2 linked regions of the Caenorhabditis elegans genome follow. The protein of the gene in region 2 purifies or fractionates together with the protein of the main gene of each other region. This does not show direct contact. Each region holds a gene or a part of one and is shown on either strand. Other genes may lie near its edges.

Region 1 (8,284 bases), on a different chromosome or scaffold from region 2:
TGAAAAATTGTAAAATTTTTATATTTTTTGATCAAAAAATTGAGAATTCAAAATATTTTCAATTTTTCGAATGAAAAACTGAATTTCCGGAAAAAATACGTTTTTTTTTCTCACAAAATACGAGAACATTTCAGCTTTTTTGACTAAAAAATTAACAAATTTTCAGATTTTCTTACTTTCGAGAAATTGTTTTCGGTGGAAAAATTCGGTTTTTATTTTTTTAAAAATACAAAAATTTGACGTTTTCCAGCTGAAAATTACTTTAAAAATTATATTTTTCATCCTTGAAAACCTTGGATATTTATTTTTTTTTTAAATTTCAGATTTTTTAGCTTGAAAAACCTTGAAAATCCCTAAAAATCGAAACATTTCGAATTTTCCGATTTTCAAAATAAAAAAAAAGGAAATTTTCAGAAATTACAGTTTTTCAGCTCGGAAAACATAAAATTTACAATTTTTTTAAAAATTTTTCAGTGAAAAATATGAACTTTTTTTTTGAAATTTTCCGTTTTTCGGCAATTTTTGGGTGAAAAATCTCCAAAATTCCGCTAAAAACAATGATTTCTCCATTGAATTTTCATAATTTCCACTGAATTTTCAACTCGAACCCACTCAACTCCTTACACTGGCCCAATAATTTCCGATTTCCTGCACGTATAATAATTGAATGATTTGTAAGCTGTATAAAGAGCACATCCGTAGAGCCCAATCAGAATCGGCACCATGTAGATCTTGTTGAATGTCTGAAAATACTCGAAATTTGCCTGAAAATCCGAAAATTTTCCAATTTTTCCACTTTTTTTTCTTAATTTGAGCCAAAAATCTAATAAAATTGGGGCTTTTGTAAGCTTTCTCAGAACGATTTCCGATAGAAAATATTAAAAATTACAACTTTTTTCCAATTTTTCAGCTCAACGTTTTCTGGAAAATTAAAATTTTATAGAAAATTTTTCAAATTTTTGTGAAAAAATGCTCTTTTCCATTTTTTTTTTGGTCAAATTTGAGCCAAAATGCATTTTGAAAATTTAAAGATTTTTATCATAAAAATCTGAAATTTTCAGATTTTTGTCTGGAAAATTAAAAATTAAAGCTTTTTCTGCAAATTTTCATTCAAATTTCTCCTTTTTTTTCAATTTTTCAGCCAATTTTTCTGAAAAAAAAAAACATTTAGAAAATCAAAAATATGTTTTTTACTGTAAAAATCTAATGGATTGTTATAAATTTTGTCTGAAAATAGAAAAAAAAAATTCTAAAGTTTTCAGATTATTCTCGAAAAAAAGTCACATTTTCCAACAAAATTATTAAAAAACTTGCTTTTTACTGCAAAAATCTATTGAAATTGAAATTTTTCAGAGTTTTTACCGATTTTTTTTCGCAAAAAAATACAATTTGAAAAAAAATGTTTCAGCTCGAAATGTTACAAAAAAAAATCGAAAATTCCACAATTTTGAGCACAACATTTTTTTTTTGAAAAATTATATTTTTCAGCTCAATCTTTCTCGAAATTCTCAGAAATTCCGCGCTCCAAGCTCAAAATTTCACGAGAAATTCAAATTTCGCACTGAAAACTGGCCCTACCGATGCATTCGTCAACATTGTCAAAATAACAGCCAACACAGCAACAGTTGCAGCAAGAATAAAGAATAAAAGAGCACGACGACGAGCAAAACTTCCGACAGTCGAATATTTCTTGCAATGTGGACAATTTGCCAGCGCATTTGTCAGTGTATTGAATAGGAATATCTCATTGCAATGATTACATTTGACACGGCAACTTCCTGTTGGTGCACGAATTGCTGTTCCCGGGTCCCGTTGACCGGCTGCAAAAATTGAAAAAAAATTAAAATTTTTGTGGAATTTTGAAAAAAAAACCTTTTTTCATTAAAATCGCAAAAATATTCGATTTTTCTATCAAAAAATCTAAAATTTAGATTCTTTAAAAATTTAATTTTTGAGTGAAAAATTGAATTTTTAGGTGAAAAATTCAAATTTTTAAGTGAAATTTTGATTTTTTTTTTGAAAAAATTGAAAATTCTATTAAAAAAAAAAACAATTTTCCAGCTTGATCAATATAAAAAACAAAGATTTTATTTAATATTCCAAAAAATTTTTAATTTTCAAAATTTTTCCACATATTTATTACGAAAACACGAAAAATTGGTGCACGAATTGCTGTTCCCGGGTCCCGTTGACCGGCTGCAAAAATTTTTAAAAAATTAAAATTTTTGTGGAATTTTGAAAAAAAAAAAAATTTTTTCAATAAAATCGCAAAAATAATCGATTTATCAAGCAAAACAATCATAAATTGAGATTTTTTTAAAATTTAAATTTAAAAAAAAGCAAACATATTTTTTTTTTTCATTAAATCGCAAAATTATCAATTTTTCAACAAAAAAATCTTGAAATTTTGATCTTTTTTTTTAATTGAAAATTCTATCAAAAAATATAAAAAAACAGTTTTTCCAAAAAAAAAAAAAAAAGATTTTCAACATTTTTCCACATATTTATTACGGGAAAACAAAATTCTGAAAATGCGTATCGCGCAACACATTTGACGCGCAAAATATCTCGTAGCGAAAACTACAGTAATCCTTTAAATGACTACTGTAGCGCGGTTGTGTCGATTTACGGGCTCAATTATTAAATAACTGAACTCTTTTAACAAAATCGAGCCCGTAAATCGACACAAACGTTTAAAGAATTATTGTAGTTTTCGCTACGAGATATTTTGCGCGTCAAATATGTTGTACAATACGCATTCTCAGAATTATGTGTTTCCGTAATAAATATGTTTTAAAAAATTTGATATTTTTTTGAAAAAAAAAACTTATTTTTTTCAAATTTTTGTTTAAAAATAATGTAAATTTTCTTTTTTTGAAAAAAATCTGAAGTTTAGAGACTTTTTTGCCAAAAAGATGTCAATTTACAATTTTCACAGGAGAAATCGTAAAATGTCAGTTTTTTTTGTTGTTCAAAACAGAGAAGTTATCCTTTGTGTTCGAAAAAAAAAACTAAAATTCCGGAATTCCAGTTGAAAATAGTGAAACTATAGTTTCTTTTCACTGAAAAATAGTAAAAAACGTTTGAAAAATGAAAATTCAAAATTCAACCAAAAATTCAAAAGTTTTTACTATTTTTCAACAAAAAAACCGTGGTTCTACTATTTTTAACTAAAACTCCGGTTTTCATTTTGATTTTTTCCAAAAAAAGGGAAAAAACAATTTTTCGCCTAAAAATCCTGAATTTCAGGGCTTTTCGACGAAAAAACCGGAAATTTCCAGTTTTTCTAATCAAAAATCGTGAAAATTTCATTTTTTTTCCTTAAAAAAAAAATTCCCGGGTACTATAACCGTACCCAAAGTGATAACCCGACGGCAATTATTGCGTGGGCAGGCAATTCTCGTAGATGAAGCCTTGCAGATCAATAGGCAATTACACGGACATCTCACATATTTCTTTCCGGGTGGAGCTGGACGAATTGGAGTTGCTTCATCACAACTATGGCATTTAACAACGTGTTGTTGATTACGTCCTTCCAAAGATACTGCAACATCACACACACGGCAGAGAACTGTTGCTCCTGCAAAAATTAATTTTTCTTTATTTGAGCACATTTATTTGGGGGAATTTTTGTAATTTTTCCGATTTTTTTAGGAAAAATTCGAAATTTACAAAATCTTTTTAAAAAAATATTTTTTTATTAATTTCGAATTTTTGTCGGAAAATGCTAAAAAAATTCGTTGGAAAATCTGGATTTTTCCCGATTTTTTGCTCGAATTTGAGCCAAAAGTCATTAAAAACTTGATTTTTACTGTAAAAATTCAGAACGAAATTAATTTTTCTTTATTTGACCAGATTTATTTGGGGGAATTTTTGGAATTTTAAATTAGGACTTTTTTGTCGGAAGGCCCTGAAATTCAGAGAATTTTTAGGTGAACACTGCAACTTTTTCCTCACGAGGGACGAGGAAAAGTGGTTTCTAGGCCATGGCCGAGGGGCCGAGAAGTTTCAGCGGCCATTTATCTTGCTTTGTTTTCCGCCTGTTTTCTTTTGTTTTTCACAGCTTTTTCCCGTTTTTTCTTAATAAAACTGATAAATAAATATTTTTTGCAGATGCTAAAACAATTTCCAAGTAAAAAAATTATGTATTCAGTCGGCAAGCAGCGGTGAAAGTGGGCAATGTAAAATGATGGATTACGGGAATACAAAACCTAAACTTTTTTGAAACATGATACATATGCTGCTTAGATGCTGAAATTACCTGATTTTCATAACGAGACCGCTGAAAAAGTTTTGAGGTTTTCAAAATTCAACTTTTTGTGCGAATTAGGTATTGTATTCCCGTAATCCATCATTTTACATTGCCCACTTTCACCGCTGCTTGCCGACTGAATACATAATTTTTTTACTTGGAAATTGTTTTAGCATCTGCAAAAAATATTTATTTATCAGTTTTATTAAGAAAAAACGAAAAAAATAAGTGAAAAACAAAAGAAAACAGGCGGAAAACAAAGCAAGATAAATGGCCGCTGAAACTTGTCGGCCCCTCGGCCATGGCCTAGAAACCACTTTTCCTCGTCCCTCGTGAGGAAAAAGTTGCAGTGTTAGGACTTTTTTGTCGAAAAGCCCTGAAATTCAGAGAATTTTTGAGTGAAAAATCGTAAAATTTTCAGAAGTTTTCCCGGACAATAGAAAGAAATTTGTAAAAAATTTCAACTTCTTTTCACGAACCTAAAAATCACAAATTCCTTAGTTTTACTTTTTTTTTTAACAGTTCTATTAAATTATAAAATTGAATTAAAATAATTTTTTCTGTTTGAAAAAATTGGAATATTTTAGCTTTACAAATAGAAAAATAAAGTTAATTCGAAATTTCATCAAATTTTTCCAAGTTTTAGTTTTAGTTTTTACTGCTGAAATTTCAAAAAATGCCGAATATTTTAAAATTACAGGATTTTTTTAAAAACTCTTTTTCGGAAAAGAAAATCTCAAATTACGGAATTTCAGTTGAAAATATGTAAAATCACGGGTTTTTTTGTTGAAAATAGTAGAAATAGGTTGAATTTTCGTTTTTTAAAACAATTCCAATGTTCAGATTTTTCGAAAAACTTTGAAATTTTAAATTTTTTTCTCCAGAAAAAAAAACGTAACTTTGTTATTTTTCTGTAATCAGTAATAAAGCCTGTATATTTCAGATTATTTCTGTTAAAAAACGCGAAAAAATTTGTAAACTGAAACAAAATCCTGTAATTTTATAATTTTTCGACTAAAAACGCTAAAATATTCCGCATTTTATAGTTTTTTTGAAATTTCAGCCGAAAAAAAAACTAAAAATTGGCGAAAATTGCTGAAATTTCGAATTTGTAAGGTTTTTCTGAGTCTCTAGCTTGGAATCTAAAATTCAAGGGTTACGGTAGCTCCAAAAGTACGCAAACACCGAGGGCTGCGTACTCGGCACCGAATCTTACGAACATTTGTCTGATTTGGCTGGAAAATGGGTTACAGGTGTAAAAAGTGACGGAGAGTTCGAATTTTTTACTGAACATCTGTGAAAATCACAAGTTTTCGAGTAAAAATTGCAAAATTTGTGCATAGCTTCCGCATCTCCGAGTGACAAATGTGCTCTATTGTCAAATTGTTGGCAGAAATACGGTATTTATTCACATTTTTAGCCAATTTAAAACGCTGAAAATGTGAATAAATATCCGTTTTTACTGCAATCAATACGAGTAGAACACATAAGTCACGGAGCTCATTTTTAGGTAGTTTTCGCTCGAAATTTAAGGATTTTTCGGGGAAAAAACTTGAAATTTGTTTAAATTTCCTCCTATGATTAATACCATTTGGTCTTTGTGCTCTTTGAGCAGATTCTGTTCCATCTCCATATTCAGTAATATATTCAGGTTCATCATTTCGATCCAAATCCTCTGAATACATTCCAATACCCTCATCGAGTAATGGTTGATTCTCTTGATTTCGTAGATGATCCTCTGGTGGTACGTCCATTCCTACAGAAAAATTTGAAGATTTTAGGGGGTTTGGCGGGTTTTATACGTGAAAAATGAGCGAAAAATCGGAAAAAATTCAGTGAAAAATAGAGAATTTCATCCTAAATTCATAAACTTTGTGCTAGATTTTGCTTTGAAACACTTAGCCATAAATCCCGAAAATGGAAAATCCTACTTTTAAATGTGGAGTAGCGCCAGTGGGGAAATTGCTTTAAAACATGCCTATGGTACCACAATGCCCAAATATCATAGTAAAAAATTTTTTTAAAAATGTCTAAATTTTATATGATTTTTTGAAAATTGAAAAAAATCTCGAATTGCGTCAAATTCCTATTTGAATTACCGCCAATAGTTCGATGTTCGATGGAGCGCGCTTGCATCATTTTAACTTTTATTTATTAATTTTTCTTATTTTTGATTGATTTTTCATGTTTTTTTGAGTAATTTTACTGGAAATTTAATGAAAAATTCAAGATAAATGTAGATTGTTCACTAAAAATAATTGAAAACAGAGATAGCACGTTTTTCAACGACGTTGAGCCTGAAATAATATATTTAAAAGATTAAGGCCTTAGCGCCCGCTTTTTAATAAAAAAGTACATTTATCTTGAATTTTTCATTAAATTTCCAGTAAAATTACTCAAAAAAACATGAAAAATCAATCAAAAATAAGAAAAACTAATAAATAAAAGTTAAAATAATGCAAGCGCGCTCCATCGAACATCGAACTATTGGCGGTAATTCAAATAGGAATTTGATGCAATTCGAGATTTTTTCAATTTTCAAAAAATCATATAAGATTTAGAAAATTTTTTTGAATTTTTTTACTATGATATTTGGTCATTGTGACCCCATGGGCGTGTTTTAAAGCAATTTCCCCACTGGCGCTACTCCACATTTAAAAACGTGATTTTTGAATTTTGGCTAAATACGAACTGCAACCAATCAGCGAATCGCCCCGCCCACTTTTGAACCAATCAGATTGCGTGGGCGGAGTTTGAAGATGCTGATTGGTCCTCCCGGAGTTCTCATTTTGGAGGGAATTCAGCCAAAACTGAAAATTCTCGTTTTTAAAAGTTGGATTTTTCATTCTTCCGTGATTTTTTTTCCTTTTTTCGTAGATTTTCTGAATTTCACATTAACAGCGAAAGTTCACATAACAACAAAAAAGCCGGAAAAATCACTTTAAAGATCGCGATTTTTCAATTTTGGCTAAATTCGAACTGCGACCAATCAGCGAATCGCTCCGCCCACTTTCCAACCAATCAGATAAAGTGGGCGGAGTTCGCTCATTTTAAAGGGAATTTAGCCAAAATTGAAAATATTCGTGATTTTTTTAACGGGTTTTTTTCCTCGAGGAGTACACGAGCTGCGTAAATCGACACATGGCCGTTTCGCACGGTCATTATTCTATTATTATTGAAATATAAGGGAGCTTGTGAGTGGGTATTATCACAATTTAGAGGAAAAATACAAAATTTTCCGGTTTAAACCGGCATTTCGTTTGGAAAATCACACCAGAAATGCTAAAATCCACTGCAACTTTTTCCTCACGAGGGACGAGGGAAAGTGGTTTCTAGGCCATGGCCGAGGGGCCGACAAGTTTCAGCGGCCATTTATCTTGCTTTGTTTTCCGTTTGTCTTCTTTCGTTTTTCACTTATTTTTTTTCGTTTTTTCTTAATAAAACTGATAAATAAATATTTTTTGCAGATGCTAAAACAATTTCCAAGTAAAAAAATTATGTATTCAGTCGGCAAGCAGCGGTGAAAGTGGGCAATGTAAAATGATGGATTACGGGAATACAAAACCTAAACTTCTGAAACATGATACATATGATGCTGAAATTACCTGATTTTCATAACGAGACCGCTGAAAAAGTTTTGAGGCTTTCAAAATTCAACTTTTTGTGCGAAAATCTCTACTTTTTCACCAAAAAAGTTGAATTTTGGAAACCTCAAAACTTTTTCAGCGGTCTCGTTATGAAAATCAGGTAGTCTCAGCATTTAAGCATCATATGTATCATGTTTCAGAAAAAGTTTAGGTTTTGTATTCCCGTAATCCATCATATTACAATGCCCACTTTCACCGCTGCTTGCCGGCTGATAACATAATTTTTTTACTTGGAAATTGTTTTAGCATCTGCAAAAAATATTTATTTATCAGTTTTATTAAGAAAAAACGAAAAAAATAAGTGAAAAACGAAAGAAGACAAACGGAAAACAAAGCAAGATAAATGGCCGCTGAAACTTGTCGGCCCCTCGGCCATGGCCTAGAA
Region 2 (7,180 bases):
TCTGATCATTTTGTTAGTTGGTCATTTGTTTTCCAGATGTGTATTTTTTGAGATACGCCAGTTTGAAAATACTCAGTTCAGAGAGTTTTGAAGGTTATTTCATTTTTAGATCGAAAGCCACCATCAACTCCAGTGCATCCTTGTCTGACACGTCTGATACTACGGCAGCCTTTTCGTGTCCTATCAAAATTAATATAAATTAAAACATGACTCAGCTACTACTAATTGTTGCCCGAAACGTTGTGTACAGATTGAAAGATTGTAAATATGTATACCCTTTGAAGAAATGAACAAATTGAGTATATGTGCCTTTGATGTATTCTTGAAATACGGTCCTTGTACGTGCCTCTTGACTGATGTAGAAAACGAGTAGACAATGAGCAAAAGATAGGCAATGAGAAAGAGTAGGCAATGAGAAAAGGTAGTCAACGAGCAACAAGTAGGCAATGAGAACAGGAAGGCAATGAGCACAGGTAGTCAATGAGAAAGAGATAGACAAAGAGCAAGGGTAGTCAATGAGCAAGGGTAGACAATGAGAACAGGTAGTCAATGATTTTGGAGTCAATGAGTATTTGCCATGAATATATTTCTAACCGACCACAAACGCCTTTTCTGAAGATCACTTGAAAATTTCTACATGAAGTTTTTTTTTTAACTTGAACTCAAATTTTGAGCTTCGAATTAACAAAAAAAATTAATAGTACAACGTTTTATGGTATGAGAAAAATGAATTGTTGGGAAATTGCAAAAAAAAAAGAAAAAAAAGAACACACCAAAAGAAAACACAAAAACACAGTATATATTCAAAAAATACAAAAAAAAAGAAAAATTAGCTACAATTAAAATCGGTTCGTTTTTCAGATACTTTATAAATATTGAATATTTGTATTAAATCACTTTTCCTGACACGATCTGCGTGAATTTTCTGAAAATTTTATAGTATATGACTAAAAGTTTATTAAGGTCAGCATACTTTCATAGCGTTTACAACGCTCATCATTTTGAGTATTCGATTTGTATCAGTTCCTGTTTGAGATTCTTTTGTATAATAAAGATGAAGATCTGTGGCAATAGTCTCACGAAGTTGATCGAACATTTTCACTAATTCAGGAGTCACTTTTTCACCTGAAGACAAATTACATAAAGGGTTGAACATTGGTTCTATAAGGGAACAAACCTCCGTGATAAACAAGAACTTGTACCAAAATGAATGCAGTTTCAGTGTCAGAAAGTTGAAGTTCATAAAGTGGTTTGCATACTTCATCAATAATTGAATCAACATGAGCGTGGAATTCACTTTAAAAATTGTTCATTAAGAAATGAATACAGTATTTTCCCAATTACACATGATGTACTTTGACCGTTGATATATAGTTTCTATTGGGTTTTAGCAAAAAATTGCCAACTAACAAAATACGTGCAAAAAATTTTTCTAGATTTCGACAGTAGAACATGTTTTGGTAAAACTGAAGAGAACCGAAATATAAGACTTTGAAGAGCGTTGGCGGTGAAAGTCTAATAGGGAAAATGCTGTAAAACTCACGCTTTAACATAATTATTTGCTTGTTCAGTATTTATTGCAGTTTCTGGATTGATTTTGACATTTTTCCAGTCAACAGCACAATAAGAAGATAACGTGGTTTTCTGGAAAAAAATTTTACCTTATTAACTTAAGTCAAGCTTAAGTCAAACTTAAGTCAATCAAAACCTACTTTTTCAGTAATACTCTTCTCGCCAAAAATTTTCACAGACATTTGAGCGCGTTCAAGTCTATCAAACACAGTAAACGACATTTTAACAGTATCAATCTGAAAAAATTGTTTAATTTAGTACCTTAAGAATAATATCTCACTTTTTGTTCATCGGACAACTTATCGAAAAAGTCTACACATTTTACCCATTTTGAGAATTTTTCGGATTTTCGTTGAAGATGTGCTTTGCCATCGGTGAAGGCATTTATTGTATCACAAAACTGAAAATTAGAATGAATTTCTGTAAATTGGAATAGTTATTTCCCGATGTGCGCATAATCCCTCTGTGAGCACAATGAGCTCATCACAAATTAACTATGTTTGTGAGCTTATTTTCATATTTAAAATGGCTTGAAGTTCTTCTGAAATTTCAGAAAATTTCTATGAACGTTTAACATTCTGAGCAAAGATCGGGTTTAACATTTTCCAGCCTTTGAGTATCCAGATTTGGTAATTTCCATGAAATTTTGTTGTGCCAAGCTATTGTCGTCAAATCGGCAACCCGGCAAATTGTCGATCTGCCGAATTTGCCGGTAAAGCAGCAATTGCCGAAAGTTTTCGGCAAACTGTGGTTTTGCACATTTTTTTTGGGAATTTCAGAATTTCAATTTTAATCGGCAAAATTGTATGCATCATTGGAATGTTCCTACATCTACTTTGAAAAGTGAGCAAGTTCTATAAAAATATCTTAAAAACGGGAAAAAATTTCAAAAACGCCCAGTTTAAAATGTTTCCGTTTTATACAAAAATCACTCTAAAAACTTCCGGCAAATTGATGTTCGGCAAACGGTAAATCGGCAATTTGCCGAAAATAAAAATTTCCGGCAAATAGGCAAACCGGCACATTGCCGGAATTGGAAATTTCCGTCAAATTGGCAAACCGGCAATTCGCCGATGTGCCAAGTTTGTCGACAAAAAAATTTGCCGCCCACCCTGTTACATTTCACCGATTTTGCCAAAAAAAAGTTGTTTAATCATTATTGAAATCTTAAATTCAAGTAAGACTTTCAGCGTATAATACCACAATTTCAATATATTTTAAACATTTCGAACGTATCACCTTTATTTGGTTAGCTGATTGCTGATTCTGTCTATACAGAACCAAAGAATGAGTAAGTCTTTGAAGTTGATTAATTGAGCATTGATTTATCATTTCAGGAGGTGAATACTGAAATCAAAAATCTTGTTTAATTTTCTCAAAGCCATCCAACTTCTACAAATAAATGTTTCAAATCGCTAATAATTTTGTCCATTTCCTCATCGTCCCGTCTCTCCGCATCCGGATCTAACTGAGGATTGCCACGCGTCGATGAAGAGCCATCACTACAAAAAGATTCGTCCCCCTTTATCGAACCTCCCGGTTTTACAGTACTACTTCCGGCTGCCTCCTCCTCGTCAGTCAGCATCATCATGACGTTTCTCTTATTTTTACCTCGTCCCCGTCCACCACCGGAACCAGAAGAATTCTTGTTGTTGTGGCTGTCGCGATTGTATTGGACATCTGGAAATTATTTGTATGTACTTAAAGGATTTGGGGCAGTCAGAAGGACACACTTACTATCAGTTGTCATTCCGACGGCAATGCATTTTTTGTAGCGACAATCGCGACACACATTTCTGAAAAGATTCAAAAGATTATGAATCAGAATTTCATAAAAATGTATGTGTCTTAAGGATTAGGTATCCAAAAATTCTCTAAAAATAAATTACCTTCCACGCCCGTCGACATTGCATTTCTGCGTATTTGACACGCAAGTGTATTTGAGATCGAGTACAACAATCCGTCTGGAATATAGGTTGAAACCTATTATTTTAGAGACTGATAGTGAGTTCAAAGAACTGATGTCATGCAAAAAATAAAATAAAACAAATTTAAAAATTGGGACAAGAGAAAGTCAAATCGGATTTAAATGTCTCAGCGCTATACTATCGGCTTATCTCCACGTGTATGAAAAACATGGAGTCCGTCTCAATTAGTCACAGAATTCATATCAAAAATATCAAATATTTGAAAAAAAAATGTTTTTGAGCAAATTTTCTTTTAAACTTTTAAATGAACTAACTTTGTCATTAGAAAGTACAAGCATGTTTCTAAATTTCTATATAAATTTTCAAATAAAAAATTTTGAAACAAAAATTAGACAGGACATTGGCCATTCTAGATTCATACTGTGCACAATTTAAACCCAAGCCCAAACTTTTATATTTTGCGCAAAAATATTTTTTTTTTTTGCAATTTTGTGTTGTATTCCGGGTACTGAAATTAATTTAAAAAAAGTTAGAGTTTCAAGAAAAAATTTTTTAAAGCCGCTTTCATAGTATAGATATTTTGAAAGTTTCCCAAAACTTTGGCTGAAAATTTTGAAAAATCAATTCCCCAATGGTCACTTTACCGTATCCTTAAACGTGAAAAAAATGCATAAATTGTTCTTCAAACTTTTGAATCACATATGCCTAGAAAACAATTTCCAGATTAAAATTTTAGTTCAAATGTTTTAGAACAAAATTGATAGTGAAGCACCTGATAACTTCCTTTGATCGTTTAATAAGCTGTACTGGGCAGTTTTATCATTTGAAAATGCTTTACATTACAGAAGTTCATAATAAAATTTTCTTTCGGGTTTAGACCTTATTGTAAATCCACTAATAACTGTTTTGACTACTTGCACAGACGTCTGAGAATCGAGTATGAGTAACTATTCATTTTGTAAATTGCCTAATTCATTATTGTGAAATATGTCTGTTTAGATACCAATTCACCACTGTCGGCTCGTGACACCTATTGTTCTCTGTTTGAAACTTATCGCAGCGTGATAGAATATGAACGGACTGACAAAATAATATCATTGGTTTGCGAAAACATAGAAAACGAAAAAGAGAAAACAAAGAGAATTCTGAATAAAAAAACAATGACATGCAAGATTAGTTCAAATTTAAACCGAAAAAATGTGAATAGTTACACCTATTGTTACCGGAAAAATGCGGCGCACGGCCGGCAAGTTTGAACTCCAAAGTGCATTCCATGAGCTTCCAGATTGCAAACCCGACATTTTTGTTTTGGCCCATTGTTTTCCTGAAAAATGTGTTGAATTTGCAGAGCTGGCAAAATTGGTTAAGCTCACGATTTCTGGCAAGAACTGAACATGTTGATCATATGTTGGATAACTTGGAGGCTGCTCAAATGTGGGGGACCGCTCGAAACTGGAAATATCCAGATTCGCATACTCGTACCGGGGATACATCTGAAAATTTATGTTTCTGGAAGCTTATTAGAGTTTTAAAGGTTTTTTTAAGAGTGGAGATAGGGTTTTCTAATTATTCAAATAATTTTGACGAAATTTGAAACACAGAACGAAACATTTTTTGATGTGTTAATAATGACGAAGCCGTTGACTTTAAAAAAAGCTAAGGCTTATCCTTAGGTTTAAGCTTAGGCTTAGGCTAAGCTTTAGGCTTAGACTTAGGTTTTGGTTTTAAAAAGGTTTTTAGGTTTTAAAAAGACTTAGGCTTATGTTTAAGCCTAGGCTTGGCGTCACCACTGACGATATTTAGGGTTAGGATTTTCCGTTTTTTTTTATTTTTCAGGGGGTTCCTGTTTAGACTTGGCGTCAGTGGCGAGCGTGAGCTTGGGCTTAGGCTTAGCTTTGGGCTTAGGTTTAGGCTTAAGTTTTCCTTCTCCCCAGTTTAACGGGAAAAATTGGCATTTTCCAATCGGGCCTAACTTTTAAAGTTTTTCTGAAATTTTAGAAATTGGATTATTGTTAAATTCTATTCGTATTTCTGATTCTTGTTTAAAAAAGAAAGTTCTTTTTCTCAGTATTTGCAATGTATTTTCTTTAAGCAATAAACAAACGCTTGGATCGATATAAATATTGCTGCTGCTCTGCATATTTAGTACAGAAATCAGTGAGAGTACAGTAAATTAGAGTAGAAGATTCTTGTCGCCTATTTTTGAATGTGTAAAATACGATAAATGATCAGATGAGAAGTGGGTGGAGTCTATCTCCATTGGGTTATGGTTAATTTTCGTCGCTTCCGAGAAAGCTCAATCCTCTTGAAAACAAATGTTATCTCAAAGAAATTGTATCTTTTATCCCGCGCGACTTCAAAATTCGTTTTCAAAAATTGGAGTCAAATATATATGAGAAATGAGTAAAATGAGTAAAATGACTCAGAAAGTCATACCCTCTTGAGAAAATTGCGAATAGCGTAAAGCTCAGGAAAAACAAAAAATGTGCAAAAATATCGGAAGTGAAAATGATGAAAATGTGAAAGGAAGCCTAATATGCTTGATAATTTGATAATTCGGTTGGTTTGTCTGTTCTGAAAATGCAAAGGGATTTGGAATGGGTGGAGCAGAACTTAAGAACTTCTTAAGAGTGATGTATGACATTTTGGACTTTTTGAAAAAAGATTAGGATTTTCCATATCAAGATTTGAAAAGAGGGTCAATATTTGTGCTGTCTGTGGTTTTTCATTTGATTTAATGTATTGGAAGAATACGCGATTGGTACTTGCTAAGATGGAAAAAAAATGAATACAACTATTTTTTTTTGATATTTATATTTGAATGAATCTATTACATATTTCTGAACAGAACAATGTTTAGCCGCTTTAGAATTGAAAAATACCAAAATAGTTCTGAAATTGGAAAAAGTTTGCAATAGTTGCTAATTGTGAGCATTTTTTGAGGCATTCATATATACAGCTTTTGATTTTTTTGTTACGAGATTTAATAAATATTTTTTTAAAATATTGATTAGAAGTATCGACAATAGGGGTTCTGTATAAAAAAGTGGAAAATGCCCCGAAATAACCGAAAATGACTGAAAAACACTTTTTGAATTTGTCAAAAATTTTGTTGTCTAATTTTTTAAATTAATTAATTTTGATTACGGTGCGGCTTTGGCCTCTGAAGAAAGTGAAATAAAGAATAAAATTTAAAAAAACACAAGACAATACAATGAGGAAAGGTCTCGTTTTTTTCTGATAGTCAGTTTTTAATGAATTTTTTGAATTCAGGCTCAAACAAATTACCTAGTTTTGAAATTTTGAGTTTTTTGAATATTTGAAAAGTTCTAAGTTCAATTTTAATCTGAAATCTTTATTTTTATCAAAAGTCAGAATTTTTATGAGATTAATAATTCTAGCAGAATGTGAAAATAAACAAAATAAACAAAATTTCAGAGACCACTTTGATTCTGTTCTGTCTGACTTAAAATTTGTATTACGTAAATTTTTGAGAAACAAAAGCCATATCTAGACAGAGACTGATCATTGTCTCAGATAAGGACTTATTTTCGAGCAGCGCCAAGTTTCAAAAACCTGTAGACACTTAGACTTCTGGTCTCCACATAATTACTACTTGGCTGAATATTGTTTTAGCAGCCCACCGAGAATTGGAACAAGTGTTCGTGTTTTGGTGTTAT

The links. Proteins that work in one complex are often made in the same cells at the same time.
Region 1: the proteins of nhr-216 (region 2) and pipp-4P fractionate together in Caenorhabditis elegans (co-fractionation; one large-scale study listed by BioGRID). This does not show direct contact.

The regions. Positions count from the first base shown.
Region 1 is NC_003281.10:2,817,004-2,825,287, reverse strand, and holds the start of pipp-4P (Phosphatidylinositol-4,5-bisphosphate 4-phosphatase), read right to left. Parts: upstream 6,011-8,284; 5' UTR 6,007-6,010; coding exon 5,841-6,006; intron 3,581-5,840; coding exon 3,356-3,580; intron 1,821-3,355; coding exon 1,579-1,820; intron 744-1,578; coding exon 625-743; coding exon of another isoform or gene 621-624; exon of another isoform or gene 618-620; intron 1-617.
Region 2 is NC_003283.11:5,353,233-5,360,412, forward strand, and holds nhr-216 (Nuclear Hormone Receptor family), read right to left. Parts: upstream 5,641-7,180; coding exon 5,605-5,640; intron 4,994-5,604; coding exon 4,874-4,993; intron 4,825-4,873; coding exon 4,724-4,824; intron 3,537-4,723; coding exon 3,462-3,536; intron 3,369-3,461; coding exon 3,310-3,368; intron 3,253-3,309; coding exon 2,963-3,252; intron 2,920-2,962; coding exon 2,812-2,919; intron 1,973-2,811; coding exon 1,853-1,972; intron 1,809-1,852; coding exon 1,713-1,808; intron 1,645-1,712; coding exon 1,544-1,644; intron 1,297-1,543; coding exon 1,178-1,296; intron 1,126-1,177; coding exon 974-1,125; intron 926-973; coding exon 830-925; 3' UTR 821-829; downstream 1-820.